Drosophila melanogaster: one gene and its partners. Changing the gene in region 3 together with the main gene of any one other region gives a genetic interaction. Each region holds a gene or a part of one and is shown on either strand. Other genes may lie near its edges.

Region 1 (6,079 bases), on a different chromosome or scaffold from region 3:
CTAGGCGCAATCTCTGGGTGGTTTGCAGTGGCCTCCGTGCCAAGGATGTAAGTACGCGACAATGGTCGCTGGCAACTCATGGCTACATGGGGCATCTTTGCAGTGCGACAGTGGCGGTAAGGGCGGCAAGGGCAAGGAGAATGGCAAGTTTCGTACGGAGAAGGACACCTTCGGGGAGCTAAAGGTGCCGGCGGACAAGCTGTACGGCGCACAGACGATGCGCTCCAAATTGAATTTTCCCATTGGCGACATAGGCGAACGTATGCCGGTAGGCAACCAACCAACCAACCAACATATTCTGGCATCTACCAAGTGCTTTGCCATAGCCAATTAATCCCCAAACTGCCCGCAGATGCCGGTGATCCAGGCCATGGGCATACTGAAGAAGGCATGTGCCGAGGTCAACAAGGATTACGGACTAGATGGCAAGGTGTCGGATGCCGTATCCTGCGCCTGCGACGATGTCATTTCCGGCAAGCTATACAAACAGGGTCACTTCCCATTGGTCATCTGGCAAACCGGTTCGGGCACCCAGACCAATATGAACACCAACGAGGTAAGATTGTTAGATAGGGCTAACGAGAGAAATGTGTATAGCTGGATGCTTCTCCTGCCCCATGCCATTGGCAAACCTACTAGGTGATCAGCAATGCGGCCATTAAGATGATGGGCGGCGAACTGGGCAGCAAGAAGCCGGTGCATCCCAACGATCATGTGAACAAGTCGCAGAGCTCCAACGACACCTTCCCCACGGCCATTCACATTTCGGTGGGCATGGAGCTGAACGAGCGGCTTGTTCCGGCGGTTACACACTTGAGGGATGCCCTCAAGTCCAAGTCGGATGAGTTCAAGGACATCATCAAGATCGGACGCACCCACTTGATGGACGCAGTTCCGCTGACTTTGGGCCAGGAATTCAGCGGTTATACACAGCAGTTGACCAACGGTCTGGAAAGGATCAAGGGCTGTCTGCCGCGCGTCTATGAGCTGGCTCTGGGCGGCACTGCTGTGGGTACGGGTCTGAACACACGCAAGGGATTCGCCGAGAAGGTGGCCAAGCGCATTTCGGAGCTAACCTGCTTGCCCTTCGTGTCGGCGCCCAACAAGTTCGAGGCACTGGCTGCCCGCGATGCCATGGTGGAGGTGCATGGTGTGCTCAACACGATCGCCGTCAGCCTGATGAAGATCGCCAACGATATCCGATTGCTGGGATCGGGTCCGCGTTGCGGTCTGGGCGAACTAATGCTGCCGGAGAACGAGCCCGGTAGCTCCATCATGCCCGGCAAGGTGAATCCCACGCAATGCGAATCAATGACCATGCTGTGTGCCCAGGTGATGGGCAATCAGGTGGCGGTGACCATCGGCGGCTCCAACGGGCACTTCGAGCTAAATGTATTCAAACCCCTGGTCGTGTCCAATGTGCTGCGCTCCATTCGCTTGTTGGGTGAGTCGGAAATGTGTTTTCCAAGTGGAAAAACATGCATACATAACCTTCTCCTCCCAGCTGATGGCAGCATGACCTTCAGCAAGAACTGCGTGGAGGGACTGCAGGCCAACAAGGAGAGGATCGACAAGATCATGAACGAGTCCTTGATGCTGGTGACCGCGCTGAATCCGCACATTGGCTATGACAAGGCCGCCCTGATCGCCAAGACGGCGCACAAGAATAAGACGACCTTGAAGGAGGAGGCACTGAAGACCGGAATTACCGAAGAGCAGTTCAAGGAGTGGGTCAATCCCAAGGAGATGCTGGGACCGAAGTGATTCGCTGTGCGGCTATTGACGATTTTGTTTTAGTTTCGTGTAATAAATTTTTGTGTGTAGCAGGATATTTCAATAGATTGTATTAATTTGTTGATTTTACGGCAGGTGAATAACGGTTTTTAGTTTTTGAATTCTCCAAATGATTCGAGTCCACACTACGCGATAGTCATTATCGATTCTAAAGATATACCGTAAGTGTGGTCACACTAACGCCTTGCTGTTTCTAAATTATTCCGTTGTTTTTATCGTAAATTCTTGCACACTTAGCTATTATTTTATAGCGAAATATAAGCAAAGCAAGCTTTTAAACAAGTGTTTATTGCGGCGCACATTTTCCGTGACAAATGAAAAGATCCAGCTGACCAGCGATTATCTAACGACCAAATCGAATCGAAACGAAACGTTGAAGTAGGCGCATTACATTAAAAATTGGCTGCCAGGCAAGTTGGAGGTCGTAAATTAATCGTTTTGTTCAGTTGAAAATAGCCCAAAATCAGTCTAGCCCACACAGATATCGAAAAAGGCGATATATCTTTGGATAATCATTGCAAAAATAAACCCTTTCGATTCGACGATTTCGCCTTGTAGTTCTGCCACCACCGCCCCCACACTTCGCCCCGCAGCTGCACCACAACCACCACCACCCACAAACAGAAAATTTATTTGCGACGCAAAAACAAAACAATCGAATCGAAACGAACCGAACCGAAACGAAACGACAGCAGCTGTTTGGTTATAAATCGGCGCTATCGATCGCACACATGAGCAAAATTGGCGGAGAAGAAGAGGAAGCAGCAGCAAGAGTTAAGCACCACAAATCTTAAAGAATAGGTAAAAATTAAAAATTAAATTAATAGATGACAGACCGTTTAAGGTGCTTCATTCAGTTGCAGGCACTAGGAGCCGAGGTCTTTGCGGGCCGAAAGATGTCTGTGAGACTGCTGACCGTGCGACTGATCAAACATGGTCGCTACATTTTGCGCAGCTATTGTAAACGTGATATACACGCCAACATTTTGGACCAGAATCAATTGAAGACAAGAAGCAAGCGAGGCTTTCCCCTACCCTCCACCGCTGCCAATGTGCTGCGGGTAAGTCAAGCTAAACGGATGATCAAGGCATGTCCAATTAACCCGCATCCAATCTCTTCGCCAGACAACGCCCCAGCAGGCGGCCAAATCGGTGGTCAATGTAGTGCCCCGCACCATCAACTCCCCGTCGGGATCACCGTTTAATGGCAGCGGCAGTAGCCCCACCAGCAGCAGTGGAATCTTCCGAGTGGGCCAGCATGCGCGCAAATTGTTCATCGACAACATCCTCAGCCGGGTGACCACCACCTACTCGGAGGATCTGCGCCAGCGCGCTACCCGCAAGCTATTCTTTGGCGATTCAGCGCCCTTCTTCGCCCTGATTGGCGTTAGTCTGGCCTCCGGATCGGGTGTGCTCAGCAAGGAGGATGAACTGGAGGGCGTGTGCTGGGAGATTCGGGAGGCAGCTAGCCGGCTGCAGAACGCCTGGAATCACGACGAGATCTCCGATACGCTAGACAGCAAGTTCACCATCGATGACTTGGAAATCGGTCCGCCCATAGCCAAAGGTTGTGCCGCTGTCGTCTATGCAGCGGATTTCAAGAAAGATGTTGCCTCGGATGGTGCATCCCTGCATACCGATGCGCAGCCGCAGGCAACGCCAGCCTTTGCGCCGAATAGCTGGAGTACCCACGAGATGATGTCGCCGCTGCAGAACATGTCGCGCTTTGTTCACAACTTTGGCGGCTCTGTGGACAACGTCTTCCACTACAGCCAGCCATCTGCGGCCAGTGATTTCGTGGGCGCCCAGTCGAGGGAACAGGACCAGCGGCACCACGAGCAACAGCAGCATCAGAATCAGGAACAAGAGCAGCATCAGAACCAGGAGCCCAGCAGCAGTGCCTTCAATGTGGTAAATATGTAAGCTTAAATCTGCATGGCAACTTGCCATCACGCTCTTTGCTTTAACTTGCAGACTTCTCCAGCGAATTCAAACATCAACAGCTCTGTGGACAGTTATCCACTGGCACTCAAAATGATGTTCAACTACGACATCCAGAGCAACGCTCTGTCCATACTGCGTGCCATGTACAAGGAGACGGTACCGGCACGCCAGCGCGGCATGAATGAGGCCGCCGATGAGTGGGAACGTTTGCTGCAGAATCAAACTGTTCACCTGCCGCGGCATCCGAACATTGTCTGTATGTTTGGCTTCTTTTGCGACGAGGTGCGCAACTTTCCCGATGGCCATCTCCTGTATCCGGTGGCGCAGCCGCAACGCATCAATCCACAGGGCTATGGCCGCAATATGTCGCTGTATCTGCTGATGAAACGCTACGATCACAGTCTTCGCGGCCTGCTCGATAGCCAGGATCTGAGCACGCGCAATCGCATCCTGCTGCTGGCTCAAATGCTCGAGGCTGTCAACCATTTGAGCCGTCACGGCGTTGCCCATCGTGACCTAAAGTCTGATAATGTGCTAATCGAGCTGCAGGACGATGCGGCGCCGGTGCTAGTGCTCTCCGACTTTGGCTGTTGTCTGGCGGACAAGGTGCATGGCCTGCGCCTGCCGTACGTTTCGCACGACGTCGACAAGGGCGGCAATGCGGCGTTGATGGCGCCAGAGATCTTCAATACGATGCCCGGTCCGTTTGCCGTACTCAATTATGGCAAGGCCGATCTGTGGGCTTGCGGTGCCCTGGCTTACGAAATCTTTGGCAACCGCAATCCGTTCTATTCGAGCAGCGGTGGGATGGCGCGCGAACGCGGTGAGATGACGCTTTCGCTGAGGAACAGCGATTACCGACAGGACCAATTGCCGCCAATGAGCGATGCTTGCCCGCCGCTGCTGCAACAGCTGGTCTACAACATCCTCAATCCCAACCCGTCCAAGCGGGTCAGTCCGGATATTGCGGCAAATGTGGTGCAGCTGTTCCTCTGGGCCCCATCCAATTGGCTTAAGGCGGGCGGCATGCCCAACAGTCCGGAGGTGGGTCGCAGTGTTTGATACCACATCAGCATCCTTTTAAGCTAATTATGATTTTTTTTTACAGATCCTACAGTGGCTCCTTTCGCTGACCACTAAGATTATGTGCGAGGGTCGTCCACAGATGGGCGCCGGATTGATGCCAGTGGCCAGCTGTGGCAATAGGCGCGCCTATGTGGAGTACCTGCTCATATGCAGCTTTCTGGCACGCGCCCGGCTGCGTCGCATTCGCGGCGCCCTCAACTGGATCCAGAATGTGGTGGCGTAGGAGAAAAGCCTTCTACTTGTTACTCTGAGAAAATCAAATGGAAAAGCGTGTGATACCTATATTTTACATATGTATTTATAAATGAAATCAAAATTAACGCCAAAAGCACGCCTCCGGTACAATAATTATTGACCCTCCTGATCTTTCTGATTCTTCAGCTTCTGCATTTTCGCCACCAGCGCCTCCTGTTTGACCAAACTCCTGTCGAGCTTTTCCATCACCTGCCTGATCATAATTTGGAGTTCCGCAAGATGTTTCTCCCAGGCCACATTCTGCTCCTCCAGCTCGATAAGCTTATAGAGATTGGCCTCGTTTGAGTCTTCGATGTTGTCTATAGCCTGATCCAGGCTATCCTCGGCGTCCAACTTGTTTGGATTTTGTGGGGGATGCTGTGCGGAGTAGAATGAGGAGTTTATAAAGTTAGCAGGATCTCTACGTTTAGTACTTACCATAACTAAACAGTTCAAGTTCATTCACTTCTCTGAATTCGCAAACTTCGAATGAAAATGCGCTGACAGAACTTACGATAACCGCACCAGGGCTGAGCCGATTGCATGCGTTATCGATATCGCCTGCCAGGGATGTTGGCAGTTTAAAATTAGTTTTGGAAAACTTAGGATATCCCAAATGCCATGAACAATTCTGTTTTTTCCGCAAACTATTATACAAACTATAGATAGTTGAAAAACATAAGCCAGCAAATGTTTATTTTTCTTTTAGTTTTTAGTCACATAACATAATATACAGATATCGAATTCATTTGTTAATATCCACGCGACTCACACACAACGTGTGATCATAAAAGGAGCAAGTGGCCATGGTCAAGGACGCATCGTCCTTGTTTCTCCATGGTGCCCAATCGGCCCCGTAGCAGATGCTCTTATGCTCCTCATAGGCGCCCAGTAAACTCAGGCCAGGTGCCGCGACATCCAGCTGCACCACGCTAAAGTTGGTGTACATGCAGGCGGCCAGGATGAGATCGGGCTGGGCAGGATGCGGCTTCAGCCTCCAGATGCCTCCGCTCAAGTCCAG
Region 2 (4,765 bases), on a different chromosome or scaffold from region 3:
TGGCTTTGCCCTCGAGATGATCAGAGATCTGGATAACATCCATTGATGCACTGTAAAACTGAGTTGGTTCTAACCGCCCTTTACCACATGGGATAAAATAGAAAAGCAGCCTCTAAAATCGTCGGTTCTTGTTAATTAAAACAAAAACGCTGACTTTTATTTAGTATGAATCACACAGTCATAAGTTGTTGGCTGGGGGTGGGAGGGGTCAACTTGAAAACAAAAACAAGAATTCAGGGTCAGCCAAGGCGACCTATGAATGCCCTTACGTGTTTTTTTTTGCAATTTTAGGCAGTTGAATGACTGAAGTAAGCAGGATTTATAACGAATTCGATATGGCCGTTGAAAGAAAAGTTTCCATAATGAAAATCTAAGCCATTAAGGCATATTTCAGAGCCAAATGTTCAAATTCCGTGACCGAACGGGTGGAGTTGATACCGCGGAAAGGGTATAAAAAAGTTACGCGGCACCGATGTCTCATCTCTAAGTCGCGATGCCACAAAAATGGAAATTGCAGACAGTCAGAAAAGTCTTGAAAAGCACACGGATTGGCAAGTTTTCATCGAAGTTTCACTTGCATTGTGGCGCAGCTCGTTTGTTTTTGTTTTTTGCTTCCATTTTGGCCAGCCCTCGCCTTTATAGCGATTTTTTTTTGGGTGTGAGCTGCGCAGTTTACGCTGCTCCTTACTTGATTCTCTGCACCGGCACCTTCAGTTGGCCTCTGTCGGCCATTCCGCGGTATTGTTATTTTTCAAACGCACCGTGCAATCGGCTCAAATTTGTGTTCGATTAAGGAATATTAAATTGTTTTTATTTGTATTGTTGAGATCGTGCTGTTAAGCGTCTGTTAACGAACACAGGGTGACTCCTGTTGAACACAGGGCGTTCTAGGCTGGCGCTGGTTAATATCGATAGTGTTTCATTCGATTGTTATATCGATATAGGTTACAGTTGGCATCAGTATTTATAAAATATACACAAATACACGGTGCTAATAAATTCTTGTTCGTAAACAGTCATAACAGGAAATTGCATGTTAAAAAAAAAATAAATAAAAATAATTAACAGTTCCTAAGAATCAAATTCTTTTAGATAAAATCATAGCATACAAAATAAAATTCAACAAAAAGTAACAGTCGATAGTGATTCACTGCTTAACTGATTTAAATAATATCGATATTACTGTTGTTGAGTTGACAAGCAGTGCAAAGTAACAGAAACGATGACCACCTTATCGCGTTTTGGTATTTATATATGTATGCTATCAGAAATGAGATATTTCAGCATCAGTTGGGATTTCAAATATTTCACTTGGGAACAAATTTTTAGATGTGTATGAATAAAAATAATAAATGCGTCTTCCAAATACTTGTTCGGCCTTGTTAAATTAATTTTAATTTATAAATTTAAGCCAATGGACATAAAAATCAATGATTTTGGGTAGATTATGATTTAGTTATTAAGCTGGCTTTAATCTTTGGAGAAAAGTACGAAGCCCCCTGCGTGCGACACTGATTAACAGCATTCACTTGCGATATTTCGGTCACACAGAGCGCTTAACAGCATATCGTGCCAAAATGAGGAGATATATTCTAAAACAGTAAGAGGTTACACTGTTTGTTGACAAAAAGGTAAACAAAGTGAAAATTTCGCAAAATGTGCAAAATAATTAAGTAAGGGTCAGTAAAAGGTGCTACTGGTTAATCGGACCATAACAACTACCCATTTAACACATACCATGCATGACTTGGATATCTCGTGAAGTACACAAACCAAAACAATGAGCGACTCCGACGAAGGTGAGATAACACAACTTTTAGTGAAATTATGCACAATATGCTAGTTTTGCGCAAATTTAGTCAGAGTGCAAATGAGCATTATACGCTTGACTATGCAAATTACCTAAGTGGTGCAATTAAAACTTCAACCAGTTGTTATTGGTTTTTCAACAACACCAGCAAGGGCACAGGGTGACATTGGTGCAATGGAAGTGGGCGCGCAAAAACTTTTTTCAAACAGCCACCCCCCACAGAAGCAACTGGTGCAACCACTGGACCATCCGACACCCACGAAGAGACAAATCAAAACAAATGCCACGCACTCACCCAATGCCACATTCTTGAACAAGTGCAACAGTTGCCGCGCTTCTTGGGCTCCGACTTGCGCAGTGCGACATAAAACGGCCTGGATCAATGACCACAAAAACGTGGCCATCGATTTTCCGCAGTTCAGTTTTTGCTAGCGGCGCGTTCGGTCATCATACCGATGCCAATTAATTTTTGGGGCTTATTCGCACCGATTTGGGTTACATAATGTCATGGAAATTCAGCATGGAACATCCCAAAACTGGAACTGAAACAGCTCTGGAAGCCTGTGACTACTTCGTGGATGAGGTCATTGAGGCATCCTCAATACGGGGTGGGAATTGGTTTATTCCAAAGGTGCTGTGTATTAGTTAACCAAGCAAAACTTATCTTTCACAGATGCCCGCGAGGAAGTGCGTCAGATCAAGCACGGGGAGCTGCGAACGGCAGTGATCTCTGGCGATGAGCGGACTGTGCGGGTGCTGCTGGCAGCTCTTGGAACTGAGCGTCAGATTATAGTCAATATGGCTCCTTCAGGAGCAAACACCCTTCTATTCCTGTGAGAAAAAGTCTTTTAGAATTAGTCCATTTTGAGCCAAACTAATATCGGTCTCGTTTTAGAGCCTGCCAGTCTGGTTACGAGAGCATTACACAGCGATTGCTGGATGCTGGAGCGGATGGTCGCTCCCATGCCGTGACCAAGTACTCACCCTTGTACGCCGCCGTCCATAGCGGTCACTTGGGCATTGCCCGACTGATGCTAGACCATTTTCCAGAACTGATCCAGCAGCCGACTGTAGAGCGCTGGCTGCCGCTGCACGCCGCCTGCATCAATGGACACATCAAGCTGCTGGAACTCCTTATCAGCTACAGTTATCCCGACTACCTCTACCAGACATATCGCGACGAGGAGGGCCAGTGGGAATGGCGGCTCCCCTTCGACGCTAACGCTCATGATGTGACGGGTCAGACGAGTCTGTATATTGCCAGCATCCTAGGAAACAAGCAGCTGGTTGGTGTGCTTCTAAAGTGGCAGCTCCATTGCCGGCGTACGTTGGGCGATTCCGCCAGCTCGGTGAGCACTCCTATTACGCCCACCAGGAAACGTATTTCATTTGGCATTCAGGCTATCATGTCCAAACTGCACATATCTGGAGAGTCAGAAGGACCCGACGACCTAGCTTCACAAGAGTCAACCGAGTGCCAACGGTGTCCCATTAACGTGAATCTGCTATGTGGAGCGGCGAGAGAAACAGCTCTGCTTGCGGCCGTTCGAGGCGGCCACCTAGACGTGGTGCAGTCTCTGCTACAGCACGGCGCAAATCCGAATATTGTAGCCAAGCCAGTTGAGGATCACAACGACCCGAAATGTTGCGAGGAAATATATGGGCTCAGTAATGTCCCCATTGCAGAGGCCTGCAAGCAAAGGTCGCTGGCTATGTTGGATCTCTTGCTTAAGCATGGAGCCCGCGACGATAATGGCACGGCCATTGGAATGGCTATTACATGCGGCGACGAGGCCATCCTGAGTCGTCTTTTGGCCCGACGAGTCCATCCGGACTCAGACTACAAGATCAACAAGAAGGGTCTTCCCACACCAGTGGAGGTGAACGTGTTTTTGCCGTCCACCAGCAACATATCTTACAGTGCTATGTTCCCCAACAATCCAACCATTATTGACTGGCACAGCATGGGCTCCAGTGTCCAGTTGTCTGTTGTAAGGGTTCCCTGGATGGTCAGCGGTGTGTTGCTGCTGAATCCTAAGCTACAGTCGCATCCGCGACTTAATGAGGTTGCTCTGACAGCTATCACGCGAATAGATTTCTCGCACAACGTTCTCACGTCAATTCCACAGGAGCTTTTCCATTTGGTTAGCCTAAGGTTAGTAAAGACAAAGTAATAAGTTTTTCAAGAATTATATTAGTCCTTCATTTAAGGTATTTAAATGTGGCGCAAAACAAGATAACCGATCTACCTGCACCAATAGGCCAGACATATGGGTGTCCGGTACTGGATGAACTCTTTCTACAAGACAACCAGTTAACTACGCTGCCAGCCGCCATCTTTCACCTGCCCGCCCTATCTATATTGGATGTTTCAAATAACAAACTGCAACAGCTTCCCTTCGACCTGTGGCGTGCACCCAAGTTGCGCGAACTTAATGTGGCCTTCAACCTATTGCGGGATCTTCCTGTGCCGCCAATGCAAACTAGCAGTTCGCTGCTGAGCCTAGACAAATTGAATCTGCAATCTTTTGAGGAGCCGCCATCAAACAAACCGCGAAATGTGACTCAGCAACGTCTCACCCATCGCAATCTATGGTCGGCTACTTTGGACATAACCGATAATGACATGAAGTGGCAGCATGAACAAGATTTAGGCGATGGAAAGACAGCTGGTGTGGGCTCCTCCCAGCTAAGTAGCTTAAATATAGCAAATAACCTCTTCACCAGTATCCCCGCTGCTTTGCCCTGTCTGGCTGTAAACCTAACACGGCTGAATATGTCATACAACAGTCTGCGTTCTATGGGACATGTAACCAGTTACCCGGCAACACTTAAGCAGTTGGATCTAAGTCACAACGAGATATCCTGCTGGCCAAGTTTACCGCGAATTACTGAATCGGATCCGCATCTACTGTGCTACAGTTGTGTCCAGCTACCAGAGGGTCGAGATGACGA
Region 3 (3,788 bases):
GGTAATTATTCATGCGCAATATTCAAATGGGTCTGGAACGTGCCGGGATTAGTCGAGTGTAGTCGGATGTAGTTGTTGGACCACAAGGGATCGGTCTATCTGAACGAACATGTGCTCAGCACACTACTTTTGTATATATAAGAAAAATGGTAAAGGGCGGGGCGGGGGCCAAAGGCGAGGTCGTTTCCCAACTGCGCAGTTTCTTAAAGATCTATTTTTTTGTGGCGTTTGTTTGCCGGTTTTTGGATACATTATAAATATGTATGCATATCTTTGCAATAAGTGGGACACGCGCTGCTGGGGCCACTGACTGACTGGCTAACTAAAAAGCCGGCCGGTATTTCCAGCTGTCTAACATGTGTACCGCCCCCCAAAAAGCCCCCTTTCGCTAAATTTCTTCGTAAACAGTTCAAACAGTTCAACAAACTGCCGAAAATACTACTAAACCGAAACTGACTCAAGGTGAAGTGGAAAGTGTTCTATCACATAACGCGTGGCCTGCCAAGGTTGAATTGCCGATAAAGAAAGTAATTTGGCACTGAATTTCTCAAACATAAATTAAAATTTATAATTGTAAATTGGCAGCTACTGAATCCCAATGGAAGGTGTGGTTCTCTTTTAAATAATGTGTGCCTTTTTTTTATTGCATTTTACTTAAGATCTACGATTTTACAAGGTAACGGGGTCAATATGACCGAGAGAACAAACAAGGTGGAAGAACTAAGAACTTAGCATCTAGTTAATGGGTACACTAAGCTTATAAGATCGGTTTTAGTGGGTGCATCTAAGAACTAGTTGGATTTGGCAGTTGCTGCATGGCGGTGTACACGCCACACCCCCTACAGATCCAGTTGGAACTGTTCCTGGTCCTCAATCTTCAGCGACTTGGTCTGCTTGATCAGTTCCGTGGGGACGGGCACGCACTTGCGGAAGGGAGTACGCGGAGTTCCCCTCAGCAAGCAACTGGGCACGTTGGACGGCGGAGTTTGGCTCAATGGGGAGCCACGGAGATTCTTCATGAAAGCCCGCTCGTAGATAAGTTTGGTGCCTGGAATTATAGGAAAGCGGAAATTTTTATTAGTCAAGGTGGTCTGCGTTGCATCAGAAAGGTATTCAAAGTTCCCCACTGATAAGCCAGCTGAGTAAACGCTTCTTTGCCGCGCTACTCTGAGTCACGAACTGTGGAACATGTGCTCGGGATTATCTTCCAACTGACTGACTCGGCGAGATGGCCCAGTTTCATCAGCCAAAAAATGGTGAGTGAGTTTTACAAAAATAATGTATCACAACTCAAACAAAAGCTTGTTTGTTGTTTGAGCAAAGGAAAGAAACGGTATACTTGTTTATGTTTTCGAAATATGTTGATTAATTTCATCTTGATATCATATCTAATGATAAGAAAATCACTCCACTTTCCGGAAGGAACTTAATAATACTCGATGTAGTCTCAGCTTCCAATTTTCGAAACTTACCTCCAGGAGTGGTGGAGTAGAGGGTTCCGCCGGGCGTCGAGGAGTACACCTCGGGCATCTGGATCGGATCCGAGATGACAACCTTCCTGGTGATCATGGGCAGGGCCTGGGTGATGGCTTGACGGGCGGTGGGTGAAGCGGACATCTTAGCTGATTGATTGGATTGGTTTCGAAAACTTTCCGCTGGACGTGTAAGCACACTCGATATGGCTGCGACAATTTGATTGTTTACACAAACTGCGTTGTTTGTATTTCGTTGCTTGTATCAGCTATAGAGCTTGTGTGGCTGCTATGTGTTCACCGTTGGCTGTTCGCTAGGCGATTGCTGGCGGTATTACGAAGTGTGGCTCTATTTATACCCCCCCATTCTTACTCTCTCTCGCTCTCTTCTCGCTCTTTCGCCTGCTCTCTCGCCTGATTATTCTGCTTGGTCGGCTGATGTTTTTTGTTTTTATCTGGTGTATTTTCTGCGTAGTTTATGACAAACCGGCTGGTTCTTGTTGTTATTGCCGTATTCTAATATATTCCCCTATTGTTCTTATTTTTGTTGCAGCCTGCACACCTCGGAGGTTCTAGATGATAAGGGGTGTAGCGATGGTGGGGGGCTGTCTTGAGGGGCTTCTCGCCTTGAGCTCTTGTTTATCTTTGGTCATTTGTTATTGTTTAATGCACGGCAATATTATTGGTAAACAAGTTAGCCAACAGCACTAAACGCCAATCGCATTCTTTTCTAAAAACCAAGTCTATTGTCGATCTTGCTAGGGAAATGATGATGACTCAGGTGCAATTGGGATCTTATCTATGGCTGTCTGGGAGTCAAGAGGTGTTCCGCAGAATTTCGTGAAGTACTGCCGCTCTCTCCATGGGGCCATTATTTTGCACTCGTTTTCGCGAAATACCATTAATTAGCATAAAGACACGTCGCCGGCAATCGTGACGTAGGCTATGAGTGCCTTCTATGCATGTGCGAACTCGCGGAGCATAGCAATTTGAGCAACGATATTGCAGGTTTTTATGGGCTAAAAGATACCCAGCATTTCACTTTTTTTCAGGCGGAAAGTGTTCATTATTATCTGGCACGAGCCGTTTTGAAATAATTATCACGAAAAGATACACGTCTTACATAACTTACTTGCTTTATTTACTTAGATATGCAATTTTAGCGTGATTTCTATATTTAGGAGTGCACAATCCAAAAGTACGCTTAGCTCATATCAAAATTTAACTTGACTGATATGAAACATACATATTTAATATCTTTTCTTTGGCACATTGACTTCTTAGCCGTTTAATATTAGCGCACATATCTAAAGAAATACATATATCATATCACCAAATTTGGTGATCGAACCCTTATTAGTTCCCAAGTTCTTTGAGGTGGAATATCTTGTTTGGAATCAAACTAATATGCCCCACTGATCGCAGCAAGCATAGGGTGGATCCAAGCAGCGGCACGAGCGGTTTTAGCTATGCGGGGGCGATGTTGACGATATTTAATCGTTGGACGCATGTAAATAGTGCTACAGGAACTTTTGCCTACGTTGGCGCCCACGATTCGACGTAATTCGGATATTGGCCACGGGCCATTCCGAGGGATATGGGGTTGACAAAAGGTGGCCACGTGTGTTGATCTGCGGCGATCATGATCTCGATGTGGGACAGGGGATGGCGCCCACCTAGAAATCTGCACAAGGTCGATACTTAAGCGTGCTAATATTTATGATGGCTAAATGGGGAAGCTTGACAGACCTTGAAAGTAGATTTCCATGTGACGAGGAGCATATTTGAATTGGGGAAAGCATGACCCAAATCCATCAATTACACTAGATGGGGGTGGGAGTTAGCTGGGTGCCAACTGACCCCCAAAGTAGTAAACGGTAAACAAGGGAGCCAGAACACGAAAAACACGGACAATTTTGCCGTGTCATCTAGCACGTAGTCCACAGCATAGAAACCGCCCTACGTGCCGGCTGATATGTTTATATATTTTATTTTTTGGGTGAGAGAGCGGCTCTTCTCCGCATTTTCCACCTCCATTAGGGCTTATCAACCCTCGAAGAAACCAGTTCGGATTTTGCTTTCGTTTTCATCAGATACAATATGATGTACCTGCGCAAAGAGAGAGAGACAGGCCTATAGCCGCGAGGAAAGAGACGGCAGGCAGTTTTCCTACTGCGTTGCAGCCAAGTTAAAATGCGTCTTGAGATATTCCTAGCCGGTTCTCTAAGCGCCGAGGGGTGTTTTTCCCATCCGCCGGGGGACAGGTAATACATACGTACATATATAGTGAAATTCGGATGAAATCTTTTTCGGGGA

Evidence for each region. A genetic interaction does not mean that the proteins touch.
Region 1: of Thor (region 3) and Pink1, changing one suppresses a phenotype caused by changing the other (phenotypic suppression), as found in Drosophila melanogaster (3 studies listed by BioGRID).
Region 2: of Thor (region 3) and Lrrk, extra expression of one rescues a mutant of the other (dosage rescue), as found in Drosophila melanogaster (2 studies listed by BioGRID, with this or other methods).

Annotation. Positions count from the first base shown.
Region 1 is NC_004354.4:6,681,867-6,687,945, forward strand, and holds Pink1 (PTEN-induced putative kinase 1), read left to right. Parts: upstream 1-1,974; 5' UTR 1,975-2,204; exon of another isoform or gene 2,205-2,261; 5' UTR 2,262-2,595; intron 2,596-2,651; 5' UTR 2,652-2,690; coding exon 2,691-2,855; intron 2,856-2,919; coding exon 2,920-3,705; intron 3,706-3,768; coding exon 3,769-4,782; intron 4,783-4,846; coding exon 4,847-5,047; 3' UTR 5,048-5,172; downstream 5,173-6,079. Other genes in the region: Fum2 (fumarase 2), read left to right, coding at 1-47, 104-268, 353-556, 640-1,444, 1,505-1,764; CG44303 (uncharacterized protein), read right to left, coding at 5,173-5,436, 5,497-5,499; CG3184 (uncharacterized protein), read right to left, coding at 5,804-6,079.
Region 2 is NT_033777.3:20,633,858-20,638,622, forward strand, and holds the start of Lrrk (Leucine-rich repeat kinase), read left to right. Parts: upstream 1-1,622; 5' UTR 1,623-1,780; coding exon 1,781-1,799; intron 1,800-1,958; coding exon 1,959-2,231; intron 2,232-2,241; exon of another isoform or gene 2,242-2,330; coding exon of another isoform or gene 2,331-2,418; intron 2,419-2,483; coding exon 2,484-2,643; intron 2,644-2,705; coding exon 2,706-3,965; intron 3,966-4,021; coding exon 4,022-4,765.
Region 3 is NT_033779.5:3,476,445-3,480,232, reverse strand, and holds Thor (thor), read right to left. Parts: upstream 1,800-3,788; 5' UTR 1,618-1,799; coding exon 1,473-1,617; intron 1,049-1,472; coding exon 840-1,048; 3' UTR 621-839; downstream 1-620. UniProt on the Drosophila melanogaster protein: Repressor of translation initiation that regulates eIF4E1 activity by preventing its assembly into the eIF4F complex. Hypophosphorylated form competes with eIF4G1 and strongly binds to eIF4E1, leading to repress translation.